Linked DNA regions of Pelodiscus sinensis. The protein of the gene in region 2 interacts with the protein of the main gene of each other region in a pairwise test. Links are inferred from orthologs where the notes say so. Each region holds a gene or a part of one and is shown on either strand. Other genes may lie near its edges.

Region 1 (15,937 bases), on a different chromosome or scaffold from region 2:
GTGTGATTTCACTTGGCCACCACTTAAATCCTACTTTTTAATAATTAATAAAAATGTTTATTACCAAGCCCAGTCTAAAAAAATGGTCACCTAGGGGAAGCAACCTCTGTGCGCCTCTCTCATCGATAAAGGGGGCAAACTTATAAGCTTTCTCTGTGTCAAACTTTCACCCAGAGTAAGATGGATTTAGTTGGAGGCTTGGCCCTCTTTTGGGGTCTGTCAGCAGCCTTATAGCTGAGCCTTCCCAGAGCTGAGCTGAGCTGGTGTCTGTATTGCTCTGCAGGGGCGCAGTTACCCCAACTCTATGCCTTGGCAGGAGAGACTAGAGCTTCCGACCCAGCAGGTCAGGGTGGTGAGGCACCTCAGAGGGCAGGCTGGCAGGCTGGCAGGCATGATCTGCCCACTAGGGAATACCCCCATGGGGAAAAATCGCTGTGATCCAACCCATTACAAGCTCAAATCACTACATGGCAAGGGTTCTAATCCTTTACTCACCCCCACGGCCTCCGCACCCTTCATTAACCCCGGACACCTGTTCTCCATGCAGTACCCCAGCACGGGCCACCCCAGGGCCAAACCCCGGAGCGAAATAGCCTCTCCTGCTACTTGAGAGTCCCCTGCTTCTAGGTCCCAAGTTTGCCTGGGGCTGTTCTGTCACTGTCAGCCTGGGAGTGGCCTGCCCCCCACCACCGCCAGTTTCTTTTCGCTCCAGAGCTACAGCGCCCCAGCCCCTGTTCTTAGCTGTAGACCTCTGAGCACACACATAGGGCTCAGTTTACCCAGCCACGCAGCTAGCTCTGGCTCCGTGACCTGCCTTCTTCATTAGTTACCACTCTGCTTGAGCCCTGGGACTTTATCAGCGCCACAGCGAAGGGGGCAGATGGATTTCAGCATGACTCAGGCCTGCCTGGAAGGAAGAGCTGAGTAAAGGCTGCGGGGGTTAAGGCAGGGAGCCATTGCTCTGCTACACTCACTGGAAGGAACTGAGCTCACGGCCCATTCTTTAGATTTCTGGTCAGCACCTGGCGTTGAAGGCCAACCCCGGCCATTTCAGACGGTCACACGTGATGTCAGCCTGCAGCCAGCTTGCTACGCTCACCAGAGCCTGGATTGACTCACTGTGTGCGGATCAGAATTCACTCGAAGTGCACCATCGATGGCTAGAGGGGGCAAGCTTAGTAGCCCAGCATCACCGAGGTGTGGGGGAGTCTGCACCCCCGCTCCCCTATCTGCAGGCAGATGGAACCCTCAGCCAGCAGGTGGAACAGAAATTTGATTAGGCAACAGGGACGCAGCATGGACAGATAGGGCAGCATAGTAGCCAAAAGAAGTCAGTACAACCCAGCTCTGAGAGGAAGGGGGGGTGTAGAGCCAGGGCCCTGGCCCTCCCCCGGCACCGCAAACCAGATGAGACTAACTCATACAGCCAGCAGCCTGCCCCCCACCCCTTAGCCAGGCTCCTTCCCCAGCCTCCGTCTTGCTTCCCAGGCAAAAGGTGACACCTGGCCACACCTCCACCCGGCTCAGCTTACAGAGGGCATCGGCCATCGTGTAGGTGTGGGAGGCGAATCCCACCGAAATGCCCATCAGCATCTAGGATGGTGGACTCCAGCCTTTTTAATCACAAGAGCGCTTTTTCAATGTAAGATCTACCTCAACCCCAAATCCCCTTGCCCCACTTCCTTCCCGCCCCTTCTCTGATGCTCCGCCCCTTCTTCAAGGCCTCACCCTGCTCACTCCATCTCCCTTCCTCCCGCTCTTTCACCAGGCTAGAGCAGTGGGTTGGGGTGCAGGCTCTGGTCATAGGCCAAGGGGTTCACAGTGTGGGAAGGGCTCCGGGCTTAGCCCAGGGTGGGGGATTAGGGTTCAGGAGGGATTTCAGGGTGCAAGCTCTGGGAAGGAGTTCGGGTGCAGGGGGACTCATGTGGGGCAGGAGGAGGTTCAGGGCTGGGCCAGGGGTTCTGGCTGGGCACCATTTAATGGAGATGGCTTCTGGGTGGCAGAGCAGTGGGGTTAAGGCAGGCTTACTCCTGCCCTGGCCCTGTCCTGAAAACAGCTGGCATGGATAGCACTGGCTCCTTGGCACCATGTGCTGCCCTGCATGCACCGGCACTGAGTCCACAGCTTCTACTGGCCACGGTTCCCCATTACTCATCCATGGGAGCTGCCGGAGTGGTGGTGTGGGCAAAGACAGCAATGTAGAGACCCCCTGCTCGGCCTCTCAGGGACATGCCCACCCTTTCCAGGGGCAGCAATTACCACAGGGGTAATTACTCCCGCCATGGCCGGTTCAGCATTTTAGAACTCACTACTCAAAGAATTGAGAGAGATGAAAATTATGAAATGCACAGACCAGTCCAAAACCAAAAATAACCCACTGTACCAGCAGTAAAAGTAGTAACAACCCTCCCCCCACACATACGTGTCAGGCGATGAGAGCAAAGGGCAGTGTGTGTGTGTGTGTGTGTGTGTGTGTGTGTGTGTGTGAGAGAGAGAGAATGACAGAAACACACAGAATGTGAGTGACAGATTTGCATTGCCAAGATCTCTCCCCTTCTCTCTGTGTGGAGATGGGGTACATGAGTGAGGGAACTTGGTCCTCAGAGCCCTGCCTCTTCTCCCTGCCACACCCTGCACAGCAAGCAGGCGGCTTCCGGGGGGGCAGCTTCAAGGCAGAGGGCAGGAACAGCTTGGCAACAGGCAGAGGGGCAACTAAAGGGCCAGCTCTTGATAGCTGCCTGGCCAAGCCAGTCAGGATCACCTGTCAGAGGCTCCAAGATCTACTGGTAGATCCCACTCTATAGGCTGGTGCTTGCTGATCTAGAAACTGGTGCAGTGCCCAGGGAAACTGAGGCAGAGGGGGTTACGGCAGGACAGTAGAAAAGAGGGACCTTAGAATTTAACCCATAAGCGGGTGCTTATACAAGTTAACGGGATTAGTTAAAATCAGCTAGCTCAGCAGTACAGCCTGCGCCCTGGGATGCAGGCGGGCAAGGACTACCAGCTCCACTTGTAGGAAAGAGCCCACCCTGTGTGTAGCTACCAAGATTTCCAGCAGTTACCATATTAAGCGACACTTAACTTCCCTAGGAGAACACACACGCAACAGAAGAAGGGGAATAAAACCCCTACAGCCCTCACTTCGTCACACCAAAAAGCTGGGAGCCATGACCTGCGGTCCACCATACTAGACGCGCCCCATTAGAGAAAGCACCACACAGAGCAGTAGGTATTTTACATCCAAGTTTTACTCAACAAAACGTTACGTCTTCCCAGAGGAGCAGCTTCCCTTTACGCCGCTCTCGGCTCGGACTTTGTGCGCTGGGGTGAGGCAAGGACACAGAGCCTCGGTTTTGTTCCACTTGCAACGGAAGCCATCAGGACACCACAGTTCGACTGTTTTGTTTCACAGTTTGGGGGATGCAGGCTCAATTCACTGGAGTCTGCTCTCTCACCGTGGACAGCGGCCCACAACACTTCCAGCAGGGGAGGCCACGTGTGCAAAACAAAGTGACTTGGATTCCCCCCTCCCCTCCCCTCTTTTTGAAATAAAGAAAAAAGTTTGGGGTGTTCATTGAAGTAAAATAGCCAATGACCTAAGCCAGTTCAGAGAGCACCCCACCACCCAGCTGTACCCCTCCCCGTCCTTCACCAGACCCCACTGCTGGTTCTGGGGCATCCTGCGGAAAGCCAGCTCGGAACAGCGTCATCGGCCTGAAGCCCCATCTGTGGGTCTAGGTCTCTGAAGCAGGCAGGTCGCTTACCTACAGCCTCCTCGCTCCCTTCCCCCCAGCCTGAGTCTGTGGGCAGCCCCCCAGGCTCACACTCCATAACCCACAGCCTCCTCGCTCCCTTCCCCCCAGCCTGAGTCTGTGGGCAGCCCCCCAGGCTCACACTCCATAAGCCTAGGGGCTTCATTCCCAGCTGGTCTGAACCCATCCCAAGGGAGCGGCCGGGAAGTGAAGGTTCACATTTAACACTAGCCAACAGCTGACCAGAGCCAGGGAGAAACAGGCAGTTTGGGAGACAGTCGCTTTGTCTACAGAAGGTTAAAATAAAGTTAACCCCTGGAAAGCTGCCTCCCTGAAATGACACCACCTGGAACAGAGAACCAGGGCTGTAGGACCCGGGGAAATCGCCTACACCTGCAAACCCTCTCAACCGGCACAGGGAACCGGGCTTCTAACTGCCGTGGGGCAACTGAAGGCAGGGAGACAGGTGCCAAAACCTGAGGTACAGCCTTGCCTTAGTGCATTAGGGTTTCCTCCTGCCAGCTGGCCTGGAGAAGCTACTGAATCATGCAGCTTTGGGGGGCATGAGCTAGCTGTTGGGATTATTTTGGTAGGGGATTTCCCTTCCCCTCCCCACCCCACCCCACCCCCAAAAAAAGACTTATGAGCAGGGCTAGCTGTATTGACTGACTGTCTTTTAGCTGCCACTTAAGTGCCTCCCCCCTCCCCCAAATTAATTCACAGCAAGCTGCCCTGGGGAACTGCCGAACGCTTGCAGACGCGTAAGACCTTGGAGACAAAGAAATTGCTCCCCACTTCCCCCAGGTGATGGAATTATTTGCATAGGCTGGGCCAGATTACCTCCCTGGTTAGGGATTAAAGCTTCTGCCTAGAGAGGTGCAGAGTCCGGGTTACAAAGCCCAGCCCAGGAAAGATGGAAGAAGGGAATGTCCCATGACATCTGCTCCCTTGCTGTTTTATGGCCATCATCCCACATCCCCTGCCCCAAAGGCTCAGTAGCTGGCCCACCCCAATGCAGAGCGCCTTGGATTGGAACACACCCCAGATCCCAGGCGGCTTCCCATTCAGCGGAAGGAGGGATTTTGTCTACACAGTTTAAAAGGACAAAGCAACAGCCCTCCTGGGACTGCAGCCAGAGACAGGCGAGTCTTGGTCCCTCGGCAACGTCAATGACAGTTGTTGGCGCTGGCGAATAACTCCCAACCCCCAACTCTTCCCGGAGCCCAAAGTACAGTTCCCCAGCAGAATGGTAAGAATCGGCCTGGCGCTGTAAACGGCAGCCAGCTGGCTACAACGCATCATGTGATTGAACCCAGGTTTGGCATCCTATGGCCTGGCCAGTCTGCGCACACCTGGAAGCACCTCGACAGCAGTCACACTTTAAATACAGACACACAACAGGCAGCAGAGAGCAGGAGGCACCTGCCAGTTAGCCAAAGTGGGTCTCCAGGGAGAGCTTTGTTTTTTTTAAAAGTCTCTCTAGCAATCAGGTTACGTGGCCAAGAGGCCCGTGGCACTCCCTTGGTTCTATGGCCTATGGACACCCCTTCAGTGCTCTCTAGACATACTGCTTCTTGGAGGCAGAGCTGCTGGGCCGGCTGGACTGCCTCTCCTGCACGGGCTGGGTGGCCAGGGCATAGCCATTTGAGGTGGGTTTGTTCCCATTGCGCAGCGCCAGGTTCTCCTCGGTGTTGAAGTTGGCCCAGTTCTGCTCGCTGGAGAGCTTGTTGTAGGTCAGGTAGGGAGGGGAGTGGCTGTCGCTCAGGGGGAGGTAGTGGCACGTCTTACTGTCTGGGAAGGGGTCCATGTCCCCAGCTGGGCAGGGAGAGGAGGAAGAGGCCTTCCTTAGGCTGCTGAGCAGGTTTTTGCAGCAGAGGTGGAAGAGCTCCAGAAGGTTGAGGCCCAGGGAGATCAGCCCCACCACCATCATGAAGATGATGAAGATCGTCTTCTCCGTGGGGCGGGAGACAAAGCAGTCCACCTTGTGGGGGCAGGGGTCCCTCTCACACACAAAGATGGGCGGCATGAAGAAGCCGTACAGGTACCACTGGCCTAAGAGGAAGCCGGCCTCGAAGATGCTCTTGCAGACCACGCTGATGACATAGGTCCACATCAGGGAGCCACGGATCTTGATGTGCCCGTCCTCTGCCACGCAGATCTTGTCCATCTTCTTCTGCACCGCCGCCAGCGCCTGCTCCGCCTTCACGTCTTTGACCTGCACCGCCCGGAGCTCGCTCTCCCGCTGCTTCAGCTTCTCCTCCCGCTGCGAGAGGTAGATGACGTGGCCCAGGTAGACCAGGGTGGGGGTGCTGACGAAGAGGAACTGCAGCACCCAGTAGCGGATGTGGGAGATGGGGAAGGCTTTGTCGTAACACACGTTGACGCAGCCCGGCTGCTTGGTGTTGCATAGGAAGTCCGACTGCTCATCCCCCCACACCGACTCCCCGGCCAGCCCCAGGATGAGGATCCGGAAGATGAAGAGCACCGTCAGCCAGATCTTCCCAATCGCTGTCGAGTGCTCCTGGACCTGGTCCAGCAGCTTCTCCAGGAAGCCCCAGTCCCCCATCTTCTAGAGGACTTGTGCTATTGAGGGCAAGGAGAGGACAAGAGTTAAGGCAACCCGACAGCTTAGCCTTGGCGAGCCAGAGGCAGGGAACACACGGGGCTTCCTACCCCTCTGCTCCCAAGGATGCCAGGCACCGGGCTGGGCAGACACCACAGCCTGCCCACCCCCTCCAGCTCGGGTTTCAGAGCTACAACAGCGCTAAGGACACCCACTGGCAGCTGGCACCGGGTGCCAATAGGTGGGTGGGGCTTCAGCGAGGGATGTGAAATCCTGTTTGTTAACTACAACCAGTTAACTGATTAACCAGGGGGGAAGCCCTACCTGCTATGACCCAGCTGGAACACCTCTGCTGGGCTCTGCCAGGCTGGGGAGGGGGGCAGCTTCAGCCCCCTGCTGGTTAGCCATAGCCAGTAAGCATCCCCGGTTAGAGCGATACTTACTGGTTAACCAGTCACATCCCTAGACTGTGGAGCACAAGACCTTCTGCTACCAGTGGCAGCTGGGGTGGGAGTTTGTCCAGCTGGCTCAGTCAGCCCATCAGAGCACAGGGAGCCGGTTACTTCCTGGGAGGCCTGGCAGGGCCATCTCAGGGGTGGAGGGAGTGAGACTGGAGGGGGCTCCCAGGCCCCACAACCTCCTAGAGACAGCTGTGCTAGGCACAGTTGTACCTAGCACACGGCTGTGTAGGGCACCACAAAAATGTGGTGCCCCAAGTTTCCTGGAGCCCAATGCAGCTGCATATTTTGCTTATGGGCAGGGGCAGCCTTGACTCTGGGCTAGTTCTCAGCCCTGAAAGCTCACTGGGGGGGGGGGGGGGGGGTAGAAGAGATATTTCTGCAGGCTCCCATCCCTGCCACCTACCAGGGCTCCAGCAAGATGCCAGCCTTCCAGAGACCCAGCACCCCCCCTTCATCCCACACAGGGAGACCACAAAAACCCAGCAGAGAAAGCTACCCCCCGACAGCACTAGCCACCCACACGAGGTGGCACCACTTTTGCCTGGTAATGGCCAGGAGCCAGTAACCTTAGTTACCGGACTAGGGAGTCCAGCTGTCCCAAGGGGCCATGGGAAAGCAGCACCGTACCGCTGGGGCTTGCTGCTTTTAGTTAGAGGCACAGGGCGAGTTCAAGGCCAGCTCTCAGCTTCCTGGCCAGTTGCCAGCACTGCCTTCCTTAGTGACCCTGGAATTGAAGGGGTTGGCCCAGCCATGCTTCCCCCCCCCCCAGCAGAAGTCCCATTGGGGCAGGACATGGGCGTTAGTTGTCCCCTGGCTTCTTGTAAGAGCTGGGCAAGTGCCCTAGGGCAGGCGAGTGCCAGGCACCGCACAGGTCAGCTCTCCCCGAGCCAAGGGCACCAGCCAGCCCCTGGATGTAAGAACACAGGACCAGCCTGAGGGCTGGGCAAACTGGGCTTATACCCAGAGGACCATAGGCAGAGGGTAAGGGGCAACCAGACATGGGCACTGCTATGCAAAGAGGCTGGAAGGTACGGTGTGTGTGTGTGTGGGGGAAAGGGGCACAGTGGGGCAGGGGGGCAGCATGGCAAGACATACTGGAAGGATGGGGCTGGGGGGAAGCACAGGGGTGGGGATGAAGGGGGCACTGTGCAGCAGTTAGGGGCCAAGGGGGCACAGGATGGGGGTGCAGGAGTTGGGGAGCCCATGGGAAATGGGTCATTCTATGCCCACAGGGGTCAGGGCACCAAAACACAAGTTTGCCCAGGGCCCCATTTCCCCCAAGGAAGCCCTGGGCATGGACCAGAACCTCCTGCACCTACAAACCACCCTTGCAGCTAAGCCCCCCACCTCATGTGGGCCCCCCCTTTCCAACAGCCTTAGTCACTTCCGAGAGACCCCAGCCACTGAGGCTCAAGGAGCCCTGGAAACAGTGGAGGGGCTGGGGTAGGAGACCAGGGTGAAAACACTCAGAGGCTCCAGCCTTTTCCCCAGGGGCCCAGCATCTGACAAAGCAGAGACCCACCCCCCAGCTTCCCACTGGTTTACCCTTTGGGGAGCAAAGCTTAGTTACTCCAAACCCAGCTCCACGGGGCCAGACATTGATGTTAACACCCCCCCAGCAGGGCAATGGCCAGACAAGGCATGCAGCCCCAAAGGGGGTCAGATTCACTCACCCAATTCCTTCCTGGGGTATCGCTCACCCCCCAGAGCTAAGCCACCCCCTTAAGGGCACTGGCTCACGGCTCCTTCCTCCCACCAGCACCTCGCAGCAGGGGCCTGAAGCTCCTTTGTAAGCAACACCTGCCAATTAGCCAATTAAGGCTCAGGGCAGGGAGAGGTGGCTGGGGCCAGGTGCAGTCAGGAAGGGGTTAAGCCAGGGGCTGAGGCATGCACCCCAAAGGTGCAGGCAGTGGGACACAGCCCCCCTTTGCATTCCCCTGGTTCCTCCCTGCAGCCCCTGTCCCTAAGCCCAGCAGGCTCACAGCAGATCCGCTGCCCAGCCTGCCCTGGGGGCTTGCTCAGAGGAGGGACCCAGCAGCCAGCTGGAGTCTGGTAGTTACTCACCTAAGCCAGGCACAGCTGTGCCCCTCCGGCTGGGACCAGGCTCTGCCCCCGCTGGGACCAGGGGCTTAGAACGTGTGGCTCTTTCCACACAGGCGGCTGCTCCCACCAGATCCCTGGAACTATTAGTGCCAAGGAGGAAACGGACCCTGGATAGAGTTAGACAGGGGGGTGGGGGAGGAGCTGCAGGAAACTGGGGGCTGGCAAAAATTAAAGCCCGGCTGCAGAGCCTGCCTTTAAAGGGGCAGCTGCTCTGGCAGGTGTGTGAGGCTGGGGTGTGTGTCGGGGGGCGGGGGTGGATAGGGGACTTGATTCCTTTCCTGGCTGCAGAGTCGGGGGAACTCAGAGATATTGGGGAAGAGCCCAGCGCCGGGAGGGGGGACTAGCCTCTGGAATGTGGGGAGAGCGGCCTTGTCACAGACAGGGACGGGGAGCCTGGAAATAGGAAATGGAGGAAAACAAGCCAGACAGGGCTGAAATAATAATAATAATCCGGCCGGGTCAGAGCTTCCCCCGCTGAGCCAAAAGCAACAAGGGGAAGGGCTGCTGGGAAGATCCCTGGCAAGGGGACTAGCGGTGAGAGTCCACCGGTAACCAGGCCTCTGTGGGGGCATCGTCCCTGGGGAAAGCTCCGTCTGACAGACCGTCTAGGGGCATGATTCTTGCTTGGGGTGCTAGACGTCCTGGGATCAAATCCCCGAGAAGCCCTGTGCTGTTAGGACAAGAAGCAACGGGCTTCAATTGCAGCAAGGGAGGTTTAGGTTGGACATTAGGAAAAACTTCCTCACTGGCAGGGTGGTGGAACTCTGGAATAAATTGCTGAGGGGATTGTGGAATCTCCATCCCTGGAGATACGGAAGAGCAGGTTAGACAGGCACCTGTCGGGGATGGTCCAGGTGGAGCTTGGTCCTGCTGCGAGGGCCAGGGACTGGACTCGATGACCTCGCGAGGTCCCTTCCGGTTCTAGTGGTCTGTGCTGAGGCTGGCGGCCAGGGTTGGAGGGTCCCACGCCCCGCTAGGCTGATCCTGTCAGAAGGGCAAAGCCCTGAGCTCGCTAGGTGCGCTGGTTAAAACAGGTTAGTTAAAACTGGGTTGATAACGACGGCTCGCCCTAAAAGGAGGTTTCCCTAATGGAGGCAGGACTATTCCCTTGGCTACACTCGGAATTCCTCTCACATGTCGGCACGCCGCACTCCCTGCACCTGGGTAAACGTGGTGGGGGGGGGGGGGGCTGCCAAGCTCCGAATCTCGCTCTCCGGCCACAGCCTGGCTTCCACACCCCTTTGGTGCCAGTGCAGGGTGGGGGGTTGGGTGGCTGTTCCCCCCTCCCCCCCCCAATGCCATCACACTGGTACCAGCCCTAGTTCTGTGGCCAGCTGGGCCCGACTAAAAGTGCTTCCAGGAATGTCTTCCCTTTCACCTCTGGGCTGCTGCATTCCTAATTGAGCAGGCTAACGAGAGAGCAGCACCACCCTTTGGACAGACCGAGAAAGGCGCCCGCAGGAGAAATCACAGGGCACAGGATTCTGCAGGGCAATGCAAACCCTCCCCTCTTCTACCCCAGTTTATTCTCATCCACCCAAATAAGCCACCGTCCCTCCCCCCTTGCCTCATTCTCTGCCCAAACAGCGGGGATACCTTAGAGCTGCTCTTTTTCCAAGCCTGGTCCCTAAATTCCACCTTCCGGCTACTAGATAAAAGCGGCCTTATGCCCAGAGATAGGGGGAGGCCACGGCTCGTGGGCAGCAGGGAAAGCAGGGTTCAGCCATGCCAGGTGCCCCGCCAGAACTCCCCAATGTCGACCCAGCCCCCTTGCCTCGAAATAAGCGACGTAATTTTCCCTATGCACATTTCAAGGTTATTTCAAACTAAAGCGCCTCTCCGACGAGTCCCTGAATATTCCTGGAACGAGGGCTACAGGGACGCAGGAACAGCACTCCCGTTATTTTGAAATCTATTTTGAAATAACGGGCGCGTTTAAAGATGCGGAATTGCTATTTTGGGACACTTCCGGTATCCTGAAATAGCCCCGCTGTCTAGACGCTGGGAGGAAAGACACTGAGTTCTCAGGCTGGTCTCCAGGGTATGGGCCCAAGCAGCTGTCTGAAAGGGGAGTGGTTTTCAGCCATTTAGGTTCAAAGCATCTCTTTATACCATGTAAGGTCCTTGGCCAGCCCCCGTTGTCTCTGAGTACCTTGCAGGCTGTAATGTGTTTATCCTCACAACGCCCCTGTGAGGAAAGGAAGTGCTGTGATCCCTATTGTATGAATGGGGAAACCGAGGCACAAAGTGACTCAAGATCATTCAGGGAGTCTGTGGCAGTGAAGGGAAATACACCCAGGCCAACACCCTAACCACTGGACCATCCTTCCTCCCTCCCCCACAAGATATAGCTTTATTTCCATTTCCAATAGCACCTGTGTCCCATAAGAATGGAACATAAGAATGGCCACACTGGGTCAGACCAAAGGTCCATCCAGCCCAATGTCCTGTCTTTTGACCATGGCCAAAGCCATGTGCCCCAGAGGGAGTGAACAGAACAGGGAATCATCAAGAGATCTCTTTCCTGTTGCCTATTCCTAGCCAACAAACAGAGGCGAGGGACGCCATTTCTATCTTTTTTGAGCCCTATTAAAGTCCTGATCTTCACAACATCCTCTGGCAAGGAGTTCCACAGGTTGATTGTGCACTGTGTGAATAAATATTTCCTTTTTATTTGTTTTAAACCCGCTACCAATTCATTTCATTTGGTGACCCCCTGGTTCTTATTACGTTATGGGTCCCAATATATTTTAGATTCCTTAGATGCTTTTGAAAATGTCCCCCAGGATCTCTCTGGACCTCAGTTTCCCTCTGTACAGTGGATGTGCCTGCCTCCCTGGGGTGCTTCGGGAGAATAAATACCTGCAGAGATTAGGAGGTATTCGGCTACATGGGGCAATGTCATGTAGCTATTATGCAGGCCACTTGTCGGGTTTTAAGCAGGACAATCCCGCTCTTCTAGGTTTCTCCCCCATCTGGTACTGAGACAAACCCAGCTGTGGTTTTGTCCCACATCCCAGGAGGAAGGAGGCGGCGAGGTCATGCCAGCAGGGCTCTTTCATCAGCTTGGCCCCTGGGTGGTGCTAGAATGACAGAGTCGTCCCCCAAACCACTGAAACTTCTGATCTTCTGGTTAGAGGAACTATTAGACATACAGCCCCCCTCCCTCTCATAAAGAAACCTTTCACTCAGTTAAAGGCACACGCTGATCTAACAGGATGAGCTTAATTAAACACTCCGGGGCCACAGCGGGCCGTCAGATTTCTAAGCCTAACTCCCGCACTGGAGTCACCGGAGATTGCTGCTGAAATACCCCGGGGGCACATCTAAGGACTGATGGGTTCTTTGAAAGGCACGATGATGGATATTCCGAACACGGCCAGGAGCCCTCCGAGAGGAGCTTCCCACGAGTCGGGCAGTGGGGGGGGGGGGGGGGGGGGTTGATTCCGAAGCTGTGCTGAGCGAGGAATGGCTTGATGTCACCTTCCCGCCGCGGGACGGAACGCCACGTGGGCCTGGGGATCGGAACGTGGCCTCGATCAAGCCAAGCGACGAAGCACGGAGTTAATCGTCTCTGCCTGTTTCGGTCCCATTGGGATCCAAGGCACCTGCGTTCGGCGGGTGCTGAGTGCTTGTGACCGCCCCAGACGATGTGTTTAATGTATGGGGGGCGGGGGGAGGGGGGTTGCTTGCATGCCAGGGAACTGTTCTTGGGTCACAGATGATTGTATTGCTCTCTGCTCAGTCTCTTTGGCAGGGGGCTCTTCCAGATGTCATACAATAGACACCAACAGCTGGATCGCCCTCCCTCATCCGTTTATCCTCAGCCACTGCTCAGACCCCTCCCTTTACCTGGGCTGGGCCAGGATGGGGCAGGAGTTGGGGTCATGCACTCAATGACAACCCTCCGGCACATCCTGTCAACTCAAGGCGACAGGTTAATATCAAATGGCCGCAAGCGGCATTCACCCCCGGGGAAGGGGCGTATCCTCCAGTGGGGAGGGGCAGCGTGAAGGGTGGGGGAGGACTCTGAGCATGGTCGCTAATAACGGGACTCAGTAACAAGTCAGAGTGTTTCTGGTTGCCCCACGATGTGCCAGGCCCTGTAAAAACACAAAGGCAGGGCCGGTGTGGTCCCTTTAGCTGAGATACCTTCATTTCCTCACTCCGGGTCCCTCCTTATTCAAAGGGCTCCAGTTAGTAGCTGCTGGGCCTGAGTCTCTGCCCCTTATTTACCTGGGACCCACGCCCGCTGGGGTGTTAATGCAGTTCCACCCAGCTGGAAGTGGTTACTGCTGTCCCTGAAGCAAATGGGGTCGGCTGATTTACATCCATGCCGAGGATCGGGCCCATGGAAGTCAAAGCAGTTGCTCCCGATTTGCACTGGTGTCAACTCAGGGTCAGGTGTGGGAGTCCTTAGCTGCTCCAGTGTGGGACTATAAAACGCTTCCCCTCCAGCCGGGCTGGCAGCTCGTCGCTGGTCTGTTTTCTGCCCTGAACGTCTGAGCCGTCCGCGAGTTGCTGTGTCTCCAGCAGTTGGCATCCCCTTCACTCTGCCCTTTGGCCTGGTGCCTGGCAATCTTCTCGGAGCAGGCCTGGCCTTTTCTGGGGGGGGGGGAGGGCTCATTGGTGTGTGACTGGGATTAGGCAAAGCCTTGTCTTTGTAGACATGCCCGGAAGCCTTAGCATTCCTCAGCAGTGAAAATCCTCCCAGGTCAAATGAGGGGCAAAGGAACCAAAGCAAAGAGGATCCTGGGTCACTTCGTGCCTCAGTTTCCCCATCTATGCAATAGGGATAACAGGATGAGGATTCTGACCTGCATCGGGGATGAGGCTGCTGCCTACCTTTCCCTCCGGGCTGGAGGTCTCTGGGGGGGGCCTCTCTTGTCCACCCGCCAGAATGACTGAGCCATGACAGCACCGGTAAGGTCATTTCTCGGTTTGCTAGTGGTGTCAGAGTCTCCCAAAAGCGAGGGGGGAAGGAATGACGGACCAGGGTGCGGCTTAAAGCAGGGAATTTTCCTGTGGCTGCAATCCAAGGAATCCGGGATTTCTTTCCCTCCTTGGCTTGAACTGGAGCCAAAGCCCATGAGCGTTTTCCCATGGACCTCGGGGGCTTTGGATCATCCCGAGAGAAGGGATCGGTGCGGCTGGGGGGGGGGGGGAGGGATTTCTGAACTGCTGGTCCACGTGGGAACCCCGGCTCTGCTGAGCAGCCGGACGTGTCTCCCGCTCCCGAACCCCCGACCTCGGCGCAGCATTGGCTCCTGGCAGCCGGGCAGGGGTGGGGCCACGGAAGAGTTGCCAGGGAACCCTCTTGGGAGATGGGGCCCAGCCAGCTGAGTGGAGCACGAAGCCCCAGCGGGCGCAAGAGTGGACAGGCCCTTTACGCAGAGCCGGGGCTGTGTAGCAACAGACTCAATGGAAACCACCCCTGGGGGCTGCAATGATCCGTGAGTAATTGATGCCGAACCCGTCTTGATTTCCAGGGCAGTAGAGCCTGGCACTAGTGACTTAACGTTCAGTGATGTGGGGCAGGCTGCGTCGTGGGCAGGGCACGTCCCGGCGACAGGCCCACATGGATGCACTGCCAGCGCGGCGCCTCGGTGGGCCGGGGCAAGGCCAAGCCCTCAGCACCGTTTCATGGGTCGGGCCCAACTCTGCTTAGAAGCAGAGAATCCCAGGGCTGGAAGAGACCTCAGGAGTCATCGAGTCCAGCCCTTACCCAAAGCAGGACCAACCCCAACTCCACCATCCCAGCCAGGGCTCTGTCCAGCCGGCACTTAAAAACCTCCAGGGATGGAAATTCCACCCCCTCCCTAGGGAACCGGTCCCAGCGCTTCCCCACCCGCCTAGGGAAATAGTTTTTTCTAATCTCCAACCTAGCCCTCCCCCAATGTAACTTGAGACCAATGTTCCTCATTCTGCCATGTGTCACCACTGAGAACAGCCTCTCTCCATCCTCTTTGGAACCTTCCTTCAGGAAGCAGAAGGCTGTTCTCAAATCCACCTCTTCCTCCCGTAGTCTAAACAAGCCCAAATCCCTCAACCTCTTGGTTGGGTTGAGCCAGTCCCTTAAAGCCGAACAGGTGAAGTCTGTGGCATGGGCTCATCCACCCGTCCATCCATCCATCCATCCATCCATCCATCCTCCTCTGCCCATCCCCGTCTCTCCCAGTCGCTCTGTTTTCTACCTGCCTTATCTCAGCCACCCATCTCGGGACTAACCAGCGGCAAGAGTTTTCCTTTCGCCAAACCGGAGGCGCCCCTCTCCCTTCTCCGGCTTTGGTAGCCATGCTCCATCACGGTGCCTCTAACCACCCCATGACCTCAGTCGCCCTGACTCCCTTCAAGCGGCAAGGGAATAATGGGGTATTGTGCTGCTCCTCCCTTTGGTCTCTGTTTCGTTCCTGGGGCGCTGTGTGTTTAGCTGGGGTGACCAGATGTCCCATTTTGGCTGGGACAGTCCCTTGTTTCGGCCCTGCCTGGGCCACCTGACTTCTTTATGATTGACAAAACTGGGCATTTATGCCACTTTTGCCAGCAGGTCATCAGTTGGCAACAGCAAACTGGCCCCCTGCCCAGCTGTGCCCAAACAATCGGGGTGAGATCCCTAGCAGGGCACGGTGGAACATGCGGGATGGGGGAGGAGGTGAGTGGCTAGGGGCAGCGTCTTGGGTTAGCCAACTTGCCCTGCTGGCAGGAGGGAGGGATCTCGGCAGCCCAATGTGCAGGCGGGTGCCGTGTGGCCTCGGGTGGTGGTGGGGGCATGGCAGACCAACCCCATGTGCAGGGGGAAGGGGCTTGCAGGGGGTCGCAGGTAGATGATTGGAGATTGGGGGGTGCTTAGGGTCTGGTGGGGAGGGGAACTTCAGCCCAGCCACAGACGGGAGGCAGGGAAGGCTTGGGTCCGCTGGGCTGGGGGTCCCATTTTCCCTTTGAGAAGTTATGGTCACCCAATGTTTAGTAAACTTAAACCCAGGCCAACATCCATGGGCAATCTGAAGCAGGAACAGGATGGTCCAGTGGCTGGGACCTCAGCAGACCTTGGTTCTATT
Region 2 (15,937 bases):
TTCACAGCAGAATTTGCTGTTCCACATTCCATAATTTGCACAAAAATGCAGTTTTTTATTACTCTGCAAATGACTATTATGAAACACAGTTACAGTGAGGACACATAGTACTCGAAATTCATTCATTTTATATATTCTGCTACAGTAGTATATCCTGGAACATTATTCAGTAATTAATTCAGTTTTCAAGTATTTAAATATGTCAAGCATATTTTATGATACATTACCTTGACTTTTTTACTGTTTGTTCCCACCAAGCCTGATCCAAGACCCACTGACATCAACTAAAAGACTTACATTGATTTTTCTGGTCTATGGATCAGGCCTTTTGCCAATTTCAAAAGTTCAAGAGTGGGTTTCTTAATCACAAATATGAGCTAATGAGCTTCTAATGTACAGCACTTTAAACAACACACAGACAATTCTCCCCCCCTTCCCACTCCACAAAATTTATAAACACTTCCAAAAACACTTTCACCACTTTAAAAAGCAATTAAGAAAATGCCATTAGCAAAGAGAAAATTACATACCATCAAAAGAAGAGAGAGTCTGAGGAAATAAGCAGCAAAATTTTCCACAAAATATACGAAGAAAAAGTTACCCTCTCAAGATTGTTACAACACACACACACACACACACACACACACACACACACACACACACACACACACACACACACACACACAAAAGAAACATTGAGCCCACTACTGAAAGCCTGCCTGTAAAAATATATAGTCAGTGTCAACATTTTCCATCCATTCTGTCCCCCCAACATTGATTCTGAATTGAGGCAGATGCTCTAGCTACTGGGATTTGTGATTACATTAGAAACTTGTCTTTCGATTAAAAAAAGTTTTAAAGCCTTCTTGGTTATGAAGAAAAATTCAAAAATGCCCCTGAAGTGCAGCCAATGCAATGATATCAGTCTGAGTTTGTACTCTGAGAGTCTCTGCAATCAGAGGGTATATCTAGACTACATGGCTCTATCGACGGAGCCATGAACATGAATTTACTAGACATAGAAAAATGAAGCGGGTGATTTAAATAATCGCCGCTTCATTTACATCAAAAATGGCAGCCATGCTGTGCTGATCAGCTATTTGGTGGCACAGTGGGGCAGTCTGGACGCGCTGCGGTTGACAAGGGAAGCCTTTGTTGACCACTCCGGTAAACCTCATTTCAGGAGGCATAGCGAAGCGATCAACAAAGTCTTCCCTTGTCGACCGCAATACGTCCAGACTGCCCCGCTGTGCCGCCAAACAGCTGATCGGCACAGCGTGGCGGCCATTTTGATGTAAATGAAGTGGCGATTATTTAAATCACCCGCTTCATTTTTCTATGTCTAGTAAATTCATGTTCATGGCTCCGTCGATAGAGCCATGTAGTCTAGATATACCCTCTGATTGCAGAGACTCTCAGAGTACGCTTCATTTTCCTATGTCTAGTAAACTCGTCTACATGGCTCCAATAATGGAGCCATGTATGGCTCCAATAATGGAGCCATGTAGTCTAGACATACCCAGAGAGAAGGGAACCTCACAGTCCATCTCAGTGGAGTGTTAACTTCCAGACCTCTGCTCAGAGGTACCCTGGCAACACTAATCTAGCAAATCATTGTACAGGAGGCAGGAGCAGAAGAGTGCGATGTGTCTGACCAATTCACCCAAGCAGATTCACCTCAGTTACAAAGCCAAGTATTGGGGGAGGAGCAATGCTGCTACCTTACCATTTCAGAGGGGAGAGATTAGCCTGGTTGCTATCAAATATGTGCAATAGCATTACACTGATTCCTAATGCTATGGTGTGCTTTGTGTCCTGAATGGGCTTAGTTTGGCCCCAGACATTTCCCATGCCTCCTATCATGAACCCAGAGCATTCTTTCTCTTCTACCATTGCTTCTCATCCAAATCTTGAGCAGTCTTACTTCTGCCTCATATTCTTGAGAGTTCTTAGGACAACCTAGTGAGGGGGATTGTGTCTACTTCAATTGCTAGATGCCAGCCCACCACTGAATTCCCAGATTTTACATGGAAAATGTTGGTCATAATTTTGATAAGTGGAATAAATGTGAAAAATGTCATGGCAAGCAAAATACTTAGAGAAAGGTAAGAGTTCTGTGTGAAATATTTGGTTTTAAAATTGGTAATTTTGAAGAAGTTTAACTTGTTTTATCAGTAGGTAATACATGCAGACCCTGGCACGTTCAGGCTGAATTGGCTGTTGTCTGTGGCTCCCTCTTCTCTATCTGGTCACAAAGGGATGATTCTGAAATATGTCCTGGCAAGAGCTTGGGCTCTAACCAACATGTCTGGACTGCCAAAGTAAAGTACAATGTTCGGTTGTTTGCACATATAAACCATATTTTGTGATTAAAAATAAACGTAATGTTACTCTTTGTTTCTCTAGACTCTAGAGCCTAATCCAGAACCCAGTGAAGATTCCAAAAGATTCCCATCAGTTTCACTGGGCTTAGTCACTACTTATATTACCTTTAAATCCTTAGTAAAAACACATCCTGAAAAATCTGAAGGGAGGAATTTTGCTTTCTACCATTTGTCAAAGATAGGTGTGCTAATATTTAATGGCCAGAAGCTGGGATTGAATGACAAAGGACAGATCTTTCATTGTCCTGTTCTGTTCATTCCCTCTGAAACACCTGATATTGGTCACTGTCAGAAGACAGGATACTGGACAAGATGGACCTGATCCATCTGGTCTGAACTAATATGACTGTTCTTATATTATAATTTCAGGTTTGGTGTATGAGGCAAATCACTTGCTGTCTTGATACTTGGCAAAGGCATTTCTTGTTGTAAAGAACATGTCAACAAGAGTATGTCAATCTTCTTAACTTACCAGAAATGTAGTTAAGGTTCCAGTCCTGAGATGTGTGTAGTGCCTTCAGTTCCCATTTAATTTACTGGGTTTTGAAGGCACTAAACTCCTCTCACAAGGAGCTCAGCACCTTGCAGGATTGGGCCCTCAGGTGAATATTCTGTTTTCTGGGCTTCACTGTTATATCAAGTATGGTATAATACAAATGTAAGCCAATCTGCCTAATACTGGATATGCTCAAGTCTTAGTCTCAGATCCTCAAAGGTATTTAGTCAGCTACCTCCCATTAAGACCACTGAGCATTAAGTGTCTAAACAGCTTTGAGGATCCGGGCCTCCTTTCATGCCTATTCATGAAAAATTTCCCACTGACTTAAATGGGAGCAGGATGGCATCCACAGATTTGGGTAACTGAATTCACTCTGTTACTAATAGCATATCATGACTATGTGCTACTTAATGGCTGAAAGTCACATTTGTTGTGGCCTAACAATGTTTGCTTAGTCTCAGAGCCATTTTAGTGTATATTTGCAAAAAACAATGAGGAGTTCTGTGGCACCTTAAAGACTTACAGATTTATTTAGGCATAAGTTTTCTAAATCTGATAGCTTTTAATGTTTGCCTAGTAAAATGTTAAATTAAGAAGAAAATTATAATTAATGTTACTTGAAAAACATTACAGAACTCTATTATTTTTTGAATTAATATTTATATGGACTACATGAAGAAAATAAATGATAAAGCACCATAATAGTCAATAAATCAATGGAGGGTTATAAAACTTAAGCTCTAGAAATAGAGGAGAGGAGATGCTTGATCATCACTGATAGAAACAACTTAGAAATAGCTACACACAGCTTGATCTGACAGGATGCAGATATCCCGAATGTACATATACACCATTCTGTAAAAAGTTATGAGCAAATCAGGGAAACCTGACCTTGCATCAGTGAGAATGCCACTGCATAGTTGCCAAGTACTTCTCTTTAGTGGCAAAAATTTCGTGAAGGAAAAGAACAAATAGATAAGCAAAGCCTCTAATCTGCAAATTGAGATTCACATTTAAACTGATGTCTTTCACTTGTCCCATCACTCCAGAGAATAAGGGAGAAGCTGCAGAAGTGACTTGAGCTGAACAGTGGATTAGCACTAGGCCTGAACATCATATAAGAACTTGCAAACTTGAGGCCCCCAAACCCATAATTTTAAAACTTTTTCTCAGCATTATCAAGGATAAGATATGGAAAGATTATGCACTCAGAGTTGAGATGTGTGTGCCAAAAGAACTTTTCTTTTTGGAGGAGTTAGAAGGTAGATGTTTGAGTACTTCTAACAGAGTTTTCACCTTAACTATGGGGCAACTCCATGGCTGCATCTAGACTGGCATGATTTTCTGTAAATACTTTTAATGGAAAAGTTTTTCTATTAAAAGCATTTGTGGAAAAGAGCATCTAGATTGGCATGAATGCTTTTGCGCAAAAGCACTTTTTGCAGAAAAGCATCCGTGCCAATCTAGATGCGGTTTTGCTCCAGAAAGCCCCGATTGCCATTTTCACCATCGGGGCTTTTTTGCGCAAAACAGTCCTCTCCTGTCTACACTGGCCCTCTTGCGCAAATACATTTGTGCAAGAGGGCTTATCCCTGAGTGGGAGCATCATAGTATTTGCACAAGAACACTGACAATCTTACATTAGATGGCCAGTGTTCTTGTGCAAATTAAAGTGGCCAATGTAGACAGCTGGCAACTTGCCAGTCTAGACGCAGCCCATATGTTTTCAACTACATTTCCAAAGGAGACATTTATTTGGGTGTTAGTGAAGCTCAACACCTCTGAACATTGTGTCATTACTGTTCTTGTTGGGCCTGATCATGCAAGATACCCAAGTCCAGTTCCCTATAGGCATTTAGGTGCCTAACTCCGATTGAAATAATATAACATTCTGACATGGGTCTCCCTCAATCTCTCCATTTAAAGTTGTTCTGTTTTAATTAAATAATGAAATATTGAGTCAGAGATGGCTTGAATGACTCTACTGTTTAGTAGTTAAATCACTCTGCTGCAAGGTGGCACATCCCTGTTCAAATCTGCTTAATTTAGTAGGCAGAGGGGGCACTTGAACCTATGTGTGTACCTTAACCATTGGGATAAATGCCATGAAGGAGGTTGCTTTGTCTTCATCCGTGGCAATTTTGTGTAAATGCATCTGAGGAATCCAATCTGGTAGGCAGCCTTTGAACATACCCACTGCATGAAATCTCATCCCCACAAATTTAGGCAGTCACACTATCTTCCCCTGGTTAGTGAATGACTGTGGGTCTCAGATAGGAGATAAGTGCCCAGATGCCTAGCAGGTGGCTGCAGTGTACATGTGCACAAGCAGGAGCATAGACACATAGGGACCTTGACTGAAAAACCATAGGTGCTGAGTGCATATAAAATTAAGTGGCAGCCAAGCAGGAATTTTGTGGATCTCAGAGGGGCCTAAAACTGGGACTTAGGTGCCTAAGTACCTTTATGAATCCCACTGTTAACCTCTTTGTGTCTCATATCCCCATCTGTAAAATGAAAGTAATAATATTTCCTTTCTCCACTTGTCTATTTTTCTTATCGTTGGGACGTTAGTCATCCCTTACAATGACTATGTAGCATGGTTAGGACAATGAGGCCTGCTGATGCTGCTGTAGTACAAATAATAATAACTACAAAATAATTAAAATGTAATGATCAGTTATTGGCTATTGGACAGGTTCTAGCTGGCATAACTAACCCCCCCCCCCCCAAACAACGCTTATTTGCTTACATTCATACTTACTGTGTTATATTATACATCTGATTTTCCCCAGCTTAATACATTCAATGTATGCATAGAGTAAGTGTGGTGATAATGACATTTAGAAGTATTTAAATAGCTGGAATGTTGCCAGAAAATGCCATATCTTGATTTGGTAACCCCATGAAATGGTACAGAATCTTTCCAGCTATTTAAATTTAAAATCCAGTACCTGAAAGGTAATTTGAAAAAACAACTCCCTGGCCTGGGTTAGGACTACTCCAGTCTGAACCACTTATTCAATCTTTATTTCCATTAACCCTATCAAATTGGCTTATATTTAATAGGTGTGCCATAAATTCACTAGCATGCTACTAGTGCCCTTAAATAAATACTGTGGGTGAGAGAGATTTCTATTCTCATCAATACCTCAAACCTTGTGTTTTCGTATGTCCTTTGTGAAGTTTCTGTGGTTGTGACTGCAGTGCAAACAGATGCTTTGGGACTGTCTCTTGTCTGTCCTTTCAGTTACCATTAGGATCTCATCACAAGCATCTAGTTTCCATGCTTTTCCTGCTAATCGTGCCCTGCTACACCAATCTGCCTCATGAGTCCCAGGTTTAATCAGACATTAAAAAGTTCCCTTCTTCTATTCCCTGGAAAATACAAATTTATTTTAAAACAACAAAATTAAATTAGTAGAAAAACATAACAATTTTAGAAAATAACTGCTAGTCTTATTTTGCCTTTGGTAAGGCATCCTATTGTTTTTATTTACTTAAACATGAATGGTTTATAACTTTGCTCTAATGTGTAAAATTATTTCTCTCTCCTCTTATCGCATCATGAAATCTTTAAAAATTACATACAAAGTAATGCAAGAAAGATGCTTCTCACTAGAACATGTATTCTAATTGAACCCCCATTTCCTACAGCAAGTCTATCTGTTGTGATCAGTACTTTCAATAGATGGTGCTGTTTTCTCAGGGAAAGTGATTGTAATCTGATTTCAAGCAAATGTTAGACAAATGTAAGGAGCAAATTTCATTCCTCTCTTCTTTGCCTTGTACTAAGAAATCTGATTTGCAAGTGGAGTAGAAGACTCCCTTATGAAACAACCACAACTTATTTTTTAAAAACCCACTAGTAAATATATTTATCTGGAAGTGAGATTATTTGTTAGAAAGCTGCAAAATATAGCAACACCACCAGAAAAGCAGTAATTAATTTTAATGAGCCCCATCCTTTTCTTAGTAGAGGTCAGTTGGCATGTCAAAGAGGAAACTACAGAGCCCCAGGAAGAAAGGGGTGGGGATGAGTGAAAAAATATTAGGTTTTATAATATTCTCATTTGTGTGGGGTGTTAAAAAAAAAACCTCGTGCTAACCCTTTGTCTTCTTACCTAGTGTGCTAGGATTTCGTGTGAAAGCAGTAAGAAATGTTCTGCGAATATACATATTTTAGGGTACTTGTTCTGGACACTCAGGTCGTGTTTACTAAATTATAAAAATCACTGCCATGAAGGTAACAAGTTGCTCCTTAAACAAATACACGTCACTTTTGCCTCTGGAAGATATGGCAGTAATTTATTTCTAAATTATTATTATTCAGTTAGGTAGCTCACTTCTGCGCCTTGCTGAAATTGCCTCCATCAGACAGAAGCCTTCAGTTGCCTTCTTCTGGTCTGATATTTGGGAGAGATGTGCTCTCTCCGCCAGACCTAGAGCACAACTTTCCCCCAGCACTTCGTCTTGCAGAGGCGCCCTGACTTGCATAGGGTATTTCAGCAACACAATTCCCTAGCTTCTACGATTAGCCACAAGGCAGAGAACGAGAGAAACAGAGGTCTCTCTAAAAGACCTGCCCCACCCCCAAGTTCATGAAGCCTGAAGAGGAAAGCTGCAAGACTCTCAGCCCCTATCTAGGTGTCCAGGAGAACAGCAAGGGGGGAGAGGCACATCTCCCAGTGGAAAGTATCTCCGGGCAGGACCGTACTTGCAGCCGAGCCAGTCGAGGGCAAGGACACCACGTCCAGTCTCTCCCCACCTCGGTGTCAAGCGGAGGAAAGTGACTCAGAACGAAGTGTTTAGTACTTTATAGCCACCCTGGTCTCCGTCCCCTTCGCCACCCCCCCAGGCCTCAGTGCGTGCCCCCCGCTCTCCCTAGCCCCGGGGCAGCCTCCTTCCCCCCTTACCTGATGATGACATACATGACCAAGAAGTTCCCGAAGAGCCCCACCACGCACACGACGGAGTAGAGAGCCATGATGGTGATGGCCGTGATCGTGGAGGGGCTGACCCCGCCGCCCGGGCACAGGCTGCCGCTGCCTCCCTCCTGGCTGCTGTTGCTGCCGCTGCAGGGGTCGGACTGGTTCCAGCCTGGCTCCTCCGGGCGGCCGGACAGGTTGGTCCAGGCGCCCGGCGGCAGCGGAGGGCAGCTGGCGGCGGGCGGCGCGAAGGGGCCGCAGGCGCTGGAGTTGGCGGGGAAGGCGCTGTCCATGGTGCTGGCCGCGGGAGCAGGTGAGCGGCGGCGAGAGCGGGAGGCAGCGAGGCGAGCGGAGCCTGACACGTGCTGGGCTTCTGCGGGCAGCTGCCCTGCCCGGGCCGGGCCGGGGGGCGCCGGGGAGCAGGCGGCTGAGCGGGATGTAGCGCGAAAGACACTGAAAAGGCTTCGCTCGCCCGCCCGCCAGATGCGCGCAACCTCCTCACGTGCGCTGCTGCCGCCGCTGGCGGGGCGGCACCCGCGTGAGCTGGGTGGACAAGCGCGGAGAGGCGGAGCGGGCGGCAGCGGGAAAGCGGGGAGGAGGGACTCTCTTGGTGTTTTGTTCTTGGGCACCGGACTTGTACAAGGAGGACATGTGACTCCGCTGCTGTGTCCAAGCCGCGCGCGGCGCTGGCTCTCCACTCCTCTTGCCCCTTGCCTGCCCACCCTCGTACAGCCCCTGGGGCAGAGGAACTGGGGAGAGAGCATCTGAACTCCAGTCTCGCCTTCCAAAGCCTTTCTACCTGCTTTGTTTCTGCCCACTCCTTCTCCCTCTCTGAGGGCGGAGAAGCACACAAGGGCAGCTCCCAGGACAAGCCACCCCACTAGCGTTCCCAACTGCACTGCAGTCTTGCAGCCCCAGCCCCTGGCAGCAAGGGCACATACAATAATTTCAAATTTCCCCTTCCCCGGGAGCTGGCACCTGGTTCACTTAGATCCTGGAGCACAAGAAAGCGCCAGCACCACTAGCGAGAATGTGACCAGAAGCTGGAGATTAAACAGCCGGAGAGTATAATATGTTCAACATGTAACTGATTAATACAAGAAGTCGGGGTGCTTTATAGGGGGGTTGTCCTCTTTAGATATCTTCAGTGTATGTAAGAATAAAATGTGGTTGCCCATATGGCAACAGGTTGTGAAATGATAGGCAAACAGACGTGTGTGTTGGAAGTAATTTGCTTTTCACGAAACCTAACGATTGTGACCAGAGAAACTGCTGCTTGAGCTGATAACAGCTATTTGATCAAGAGTGGAGATTTTACACGATTTGCTAACATTCAAAGGAACAGACTAATAAGTTTCACATTTGAAGGCTGGGGACATGTATTTTATTTTCACATTGCTTGTTTGGATGGGTTGGCACTTTTACATGGAACACTCATTCCAAAGCTGCACAGGGACAATCATGTGCATTTCCAGAAACAGCCTGCCTGCTCAGCATTTCTTGGACTACATTCTTTTGCTGTCACATCTTTGAAATCAAAGAAGCTCCACTGCAAGTGAGAGAAAAAAAAAGTTAACTCCCACTGAACAGGAACCAAGAAACATAGCTGGCAGTGTAACTACTACATATGCTGCATTACATTGCTGGTCTAGCTCATTCACTGCTCAGGGTCAATACACCTTCTGACTGCAGAGTAGGGAAGAGTGAGGATGTGGAGGGTGACCAGATAGCAGGTGTGAAAAATCATGATGGAGGACTGTATGTGGGGTAATAGAGTGCTATATAGACAAAGACCCTAATATTGATATATCTGGTCACACCTGTGTCAGAGTTGCATAGGAGTGTGTAAGGCTCCAAAGTCTAGTCACTGTACACTCAGGAAAGGCAAGATGGCTGAATAGCATCCATTTTGGGAGTTAGGAGTTACTTTCATCCCATCCCATACTAGGGAAGAACAAGTGCTATATTTGCATTCATGGTGGAGGTTAAAGGAGTTATCATTAGCGAGGGAGCAGCAAATGAAGTACCTCAGTTCATTAGCAATGCGAGGAGGAGGGGAAGAGAATCCTTAGGACTTTACAGTTGGAAAATAATTATTTCAGGTATATAAATCTGGGTAATGGGGAATATTCTCCCTTTTTTCTAAAGTGACATATCATCAGGGGTATTGGAGTAGTAAGGGAAGTGGAGGAGAAAGGTCAAAGAACCTGCTGTGTGTGCAAGCTGGTAATGATCTGTATGCACTTTTCTACAACCAGGTGATTTTTTTCAAAATTCCTAAGGCCTGTCTGGATGGGGCATAATCAGTTGGAATAAAAGTTTTAAATGGTGTTTAACATAGGAACGTCCTTCTCCAGTGTGAAAATCTAGAGGAGAGGGGGGAAATATAGCAGCAACTCAGATACATTCTTTCAAAGTTGATGCTTCATTCTCCTTTCATGAGGAGATGGACTTTCTGGCATGCAGAATGAGTAGGTAAGAAAGTCTTGAAACTTTATGGCTGTGTCTACACTGGAGCGTTCTTGTGTGAAAACGGCTGCTCTTGCGCAAAAACATGCTGCCTGTCTATGCTGGCATTCTTGTGCAAATAAACTGACGTTGTACTGTAGAAAATCAGGGCTTCTTCTGCGAGAACTCTGATGCTCCCTTTCAGGAAGAAGCCCTCTTGTGCAAGAGCTCTTCCAGAAGAGGCCAGTGTAGACAGGCAACATGAATTTCTTGTGCAAGAAGTCTCTATGATTAAAATGGCCATCAGAGCTTTCTTGCACAAAACAGCATCTACATTGCCATGGATGCTCTTGTGCAAAAGCACATCTCTTGCACAAAAGCACATGCCAGTGTAGACGCGCTCTTGTGGAAGACTTTTTGTGCAAGAACTCTTCCACAAAAGAGTTTTTGCACAAGAAGCTGCCAGTGTAGATGTAGCCTACAACTCTCAATGAAATGGATTTTGGAGCATGCACACAGTGGAGCAGCCCCTCCTTATTAACCCCCCAACCTCCATCAAAGTTCTCTAACAGCTTAACTCAGGAGTAGAGCCAGGTGATCATTAATCCTTGTGATGTGCTTGTGCCTAGCCCTCTTCTAGGTTTAATAAGAAGATGTAGGGCAGAAACTAATGCTGCTAGCAGAGTCTGTTTTCATCCCTTCTTGTCCCTTAATTATCACAACCACTTGTTGCCTATTTTGGTCTTATTTTAATAAAGCTCAATGACTCATTAGACTGGTCATTAGGAAGACTGTTTAATCTTTAAAATGAACTATTGATGACTAGATTAAATGGGCTAGTACATAATATTTATTACATGAGAAAAAATAAATGGTAAATGAAATTGACCTTTTGACAGGTGAAAACCGTGACTTCACTGAGGCCTGGCAAGAAGCCTCAGGGGGTTAGTTCCACTAAGATCAAGCTTCATTAAGCAACATTTCAGAGGTAAGTTAAAGAAAAAGAAAACTGGTTAAACACAGCATTTTATAAATACAGTGCAAACTTTATTACTCAAGTGGCATAGGAGACACTGAATAAATCTGAATAATGAAGGTTTTTGTGTATCAAGTGTATCCTTAATATGATTAATGCATGTGACCCTCTTTTTGTTAACAGGAGATATAGGATAATTGAGGCCTGGATATTCAAAGTTCTGCTGAGTCAGATGAGAAGAGATAACAGGCACACCTAGGAGGTAGAAATGTGGCTTTTAGCTTGCACATCCCTGACAACCTATGGAGAATGTCACTTTCAATCCCTCAAATTTTGGGGGTACTTGTGATATTTCCACTTAAAACAGGGATAGTAGGTGACCCTACTATTTACATGGATTGGCATTTCACCTGGTGTGTGTGAATCTGTTTGCATATTGTAAGTTACATCTATGTATTCTGTTCTGGATGCACTTTATACTCACTTGCACAGGTGGAAATTAGAAAATCAAAGGCAGTGGACAATGAAATCGCAATATATTTTTAGTATGTACAATGGCAGGCATTGCAAAGTTGAGAGTTATAGCACCTAGAGAATCCTGGAACAATACTGCAATACACAATTAGCACCTAATCTATTTATATGATGAATGGGGAGAGAGAGGTGCCTAAGAATGCAATCCACAAAAGCCAGAATGCTTAGGTGTGGAAGACACATAAACTAGCCACTGGGAAATGTCCACCAGAGTGTGGGCTAATAAGCTACATGCCTCTTGGGTGCTTAAATTCAGGTTGCAGACAGGTGCCTATATTTGCTTAGTAATCCAGGAATGGAAACCCACCATTTGCAGTCAAATCACTTCAGCTCCTAAGGTATTTCTTACAGGAATGTGAGACGATGACCCTTAAAAGAGTCCTTGAGTTATATCAAGGTATAAGCCATGTAGGATGGTGTCAACGTCCACAATGTCTCTCCTGCAGCGTTTGGTCTCTGCTCATCTGGCCCAGGTCAGAGCATAATTTCTGGAAAAAGGAGCATTTGATTCAAAGAGTGTTTATGTTATGGCCAAGTCCCAAATATTCATGGCATATATTTAAACATTTTGTATGAATTGATGAAATGATTAATCATTGAAGGAAATATCAATGCCTAGAAATAAATGTGTAGCAATATCACTCAGATGTGTGCATTTATCTGGAAGATTGTGCTCTGACATGCCTTTAACAGTTAAGGATAGTGTGTGCCTGGAGAGTTACAGTTTATAACCTCTGTGTACCTAGATCAATTTCCTTCAAATTGCAGGGATGATTACACACAAGCAAAATTTTCAGTTTAGGGGGAAAAAGCCATTCTGAATGGTCAGCATGCAGAGTGAATGCAGGACAATCTGTATTTTTCTATGATACAGAAATGGCCCAACAGATTTTTTTCAGACTTTCTCTCCAGAATGTTTACCTGGACTCAGAACAAGTATGGTGCATTTCTAATTAAAAGATATTTTAAAGGAATATGTTAAGTGTCTGGTGATAGGAACTTTAAATAACTCATCTCTGACAGGGTAGACAAATCCTGCACCAGATAGGAAGGAATTAAAAAGCAGCACCGCCCTCACTTAGCCCCCATCCTGGTGGGTATTGGATTTAAGAGGAGGAAGGCCAAACAATTGACTATCTGTGAAGGCAGGCAGGCAGGCAGGCTTCTCCTATGTAGAACAAGGAGCCTGAGTTGCACCAGGGATTGTAAGAGGGCTGTGTTGATTTCTTGGACACTGGGAAGGCAGGCACACCTGGTTTGTAGATTAGAGAAGAGCCATATTGGCAGTTGCTAAGTGCTCAAGGGTTGAAATGTGCCTGTTAACCAGTGAAGAGAGAGCAAGGACTGTGGTAGCTTGGAGGATAATGCTAGTATTGTCAGATGCTAATGATGCCGGAGTCCTGACACACAGCAGGTGAGAACATGGCTTGCTTGTGCTAAGGACAGGTGGTAGCAAGATGCCTCACAACAACCCTGGCTATGCCCAGGAAGCATCTCAAGTTCCTTGCTGGGAGACTAGTAGTAAATTCTGGAAAGGGCTGTGCTGCAGAAAGGCAATCAGTGCTCCATGTTTCCTTTGCTGAAGCAAATGCTGTCAGTAGCTTTTGTCATTATAACTCTCACTACTCTCAATCCAGTGCAAAGCTGCAAGATTTAATAAACACCAATTATTACTTATAAGAAGTCTTCAATATTATTGACCTCCATTTAATGCACAAAGCATAGAAGGGATGCAGATTTAGAAAGCTCTTAGAAGATACTTTGGGTTTTTTTTTCTGTCAGAGAACGAAGCACAATTTAAGTCCTGTTGCTGTTATTGCTTTGCATTATCTTACCTGTGTCAGGACTGAGTCCAGGGCACTGGGTCACAAACTGAGTTTGTTAATATTCATAGAGAAGGTTGGCAGGATTTCGTCAAGGAGTATTTTATGAACACATTTTCATTATTTATCCAGCTGCAGTCAGAATTCAATCAATGAAATGTCTGAAATGGGGATTTAGAAAGCAATGCAGTTAACAAACTCTTCTGTCTACAAGGCAGAGCTAAATTACACTCTCAGGAAGCTCAGTTATGGATCAGTAGACTGTTGTCTTGGTAAAAGAATCCAATATGCCTCTTCTTATCCTCTTATCTCAGCCTTCTTCCATATGCATAGAAACAAAGAATGGCATACTGGTTCAGACCTATGGTCCTTCTAGCACAGAATCCTATCATCCAACAGTCAGTAACAGATGGCTCAGAAGGAACAAACAGAACAGGACAATTACTGACTGATCCTTTCGCTGTAGTCCAGTCCCAGCTTCTGGCAGTCAAAGACCTAGGGTGTGTTTAGATAGCACCTTTCTGTCAGAATAAGCTACACAATTTGCGCTATGCAAATTGTGTAGCTTATTCCGAGTTTAGGTCGAAAGAGCTTATTTTGAAATTGGGCGCTATTGTTATTTAAAATGTTGTCAGTGATAGGGAAGAAAACATGAAATCATCACTGACAAAGTTAGGAGATGGCATAAAAATTGGGGGAGTGGCAAATAATGAAGAGGACAGGTCACTGATTGAGAATACTATGGATCACGTAGTACATTGGGCACCGACTAATAATATGAATTTTTATACTGCTAGCATAAATGTATACATCTAGGAACAAAGGACATAGTCCATACTTATAGGATAGAGCACTCTATCCTGGAGAGTATCTACAATCCTCAAATCTTTTTCAGAGTAATTTATCAGCTGAACATGAACTCTCACTGTGATGCTGTGGCCAAAAAAGCTAATGTGTTCCTGGGGTGCATAAACAGAAATTTTGAGTAGGAGTAAAATTATTATTTTACCTCTGTTTGGCACTGGTGCAGTTGCTGCTAGAATACTGTGCCCAGTTCTGTTGCCTTCAATTCAAGAAGGATGTGGATAAATTGGAGAGAGTTCAGAGAAGATTCACAGGAATGATTAAATGATTAGAAAACATGAAAGAGTTCAGTTTCTTTAGCATAACAAAAAGCAGGTTAATGATACTTTATTGTAGTCTACATGTGGAACACATATTTAATAATGGGCTCTTTAATCTTGCAGAAAATTTATAATAAGGTTAATTGAAGCTAGACAAATTCAGACTGGAAATAAGATGTAAATTTTTAACAGTGAGAGTAATTAACCATTGGAGCACTGTAACAATGATCATGGTGTATTCCACATTGCTGGCAATGTTAAAATCAAGACTGGATGTTTTTCTACAAAATATGTTCTGAGAACTATTTTGGAGAACTTCTCTGGCCTGTATTATGCAGGAAATCAGCCTGGATGATCACAGTGTCTCTTCTGGGCTTGGAATATATGAATCTATGGAGCAGAGAGGATAACAACTCTCAATTCCTAGTCCTCACACAAAAGGGGACTTTGAACTATTGTGAAATTACTATGGGTGCATCTACACTGCACCGTAGCTTGAAATAAGATACACAATTTGAGCTATGCAAATTGCATATCTTATTTAGATTCTATTTTGAAATAGCTTATTTCATAATTTTTCACTGTCTACACGTGCAACATTTTAAAATAAAGCACTATTCCGAAAGTCCTTTACTCCTTGTAGAATAAGGTTTATACAGAATAGTGAGCCTGAAATAACGGGCTTGCTGTAAAGGCATGGGATAATTATTTCGGGAGACTCCAGTATCCTAAAATAGTGTTGCAGCGTAGACAAACCCTATGTAGTCAGTGTGTGCAAAGAAACCAGCAGTCAGAGAAACAAATGAATCTTGCCAAAATGTATATTTACCATTTGCTAAGGTCTTCTATGAAAAAAACAAACAAGTTGTGATTTATTTCTCATTCCCTCCATTCTGAAGAGTTAAGCTTTTGCAGATGACATGGCAATTAAGTGGGGGATAACTCAGCTCACTCCTCTCCTGATCTTGGTCTAATCTATACCATTAACCCACTTTTTCTTTAGCTTTATGTCTATGGAAAAACCCATTACTTTCCCTTCAGATCTTGTCCTTTTCTACTTACTCCTGCAGTATTTTTATAGAACAAGCAGGGTTGCATAGTAACCTCTATTCAAGCTCATTGATATGTGTTTCTGTGCCTTACCTTGCACCAAGGACAAGCACACAGCTCTCCTGTTTCTTTCTTTGGTGTGAATTCTTCTTTGGAATTGTGTTCCCCTCT

The links.
Region 1: the proteins of OPRM1 (region 2) and GJA4 interact in binary tests that used the Homo sapiens proteins (3 or more experiments, as listed by UniProt). The link is inferred for Pelodiscus sinensis from reciprocal best matches to the Homo sapiens genes OPRM1 and GJA4.

Annotation. Positions count from the first base shown.
Region 1 is NC_134735.1:6,569,144-6,585,080, reverse strand, and holds GJA4 (gap junction alpha-4 protein), read right to left. Parts: upstream 8,996-15,937; 5' UTR 8,841-8,995; intron 8,599-8,840; exon of another isoform or gene 8,450-8,598; intron 6,336-8,449; 5' UTR 6,319-6,335; coding exon 5,311-6,318; 3' UTR 3,231-5,310; downstream 1-3,230. UniProt on the Homo sapiens protein: One gap junction consists of a cluster of closely packed pairs of transmembrane channels, the connexons, through which materials of low MW diffuse from one cell to a neighboring cell.
Region 2 is NC_134713.1:109,684,651-109,700,587, reverse strand, and holds the start of OPRM1 (mu-type opioid receptor), read right to left. Parts: upstream 8,247-15,937; 5' UTR 8,105-8,246; coding exon 7,800-8,104; intron 1-7,799. UniProt on the Homo sapiens protein: Receptor for endogenous opioids such as beta-endorphin and endomorphin. Receptor for natural and synthetic opioids including morphine, heroin, DAMGO, fentanyl, etorphine, buprenorphin and methadone.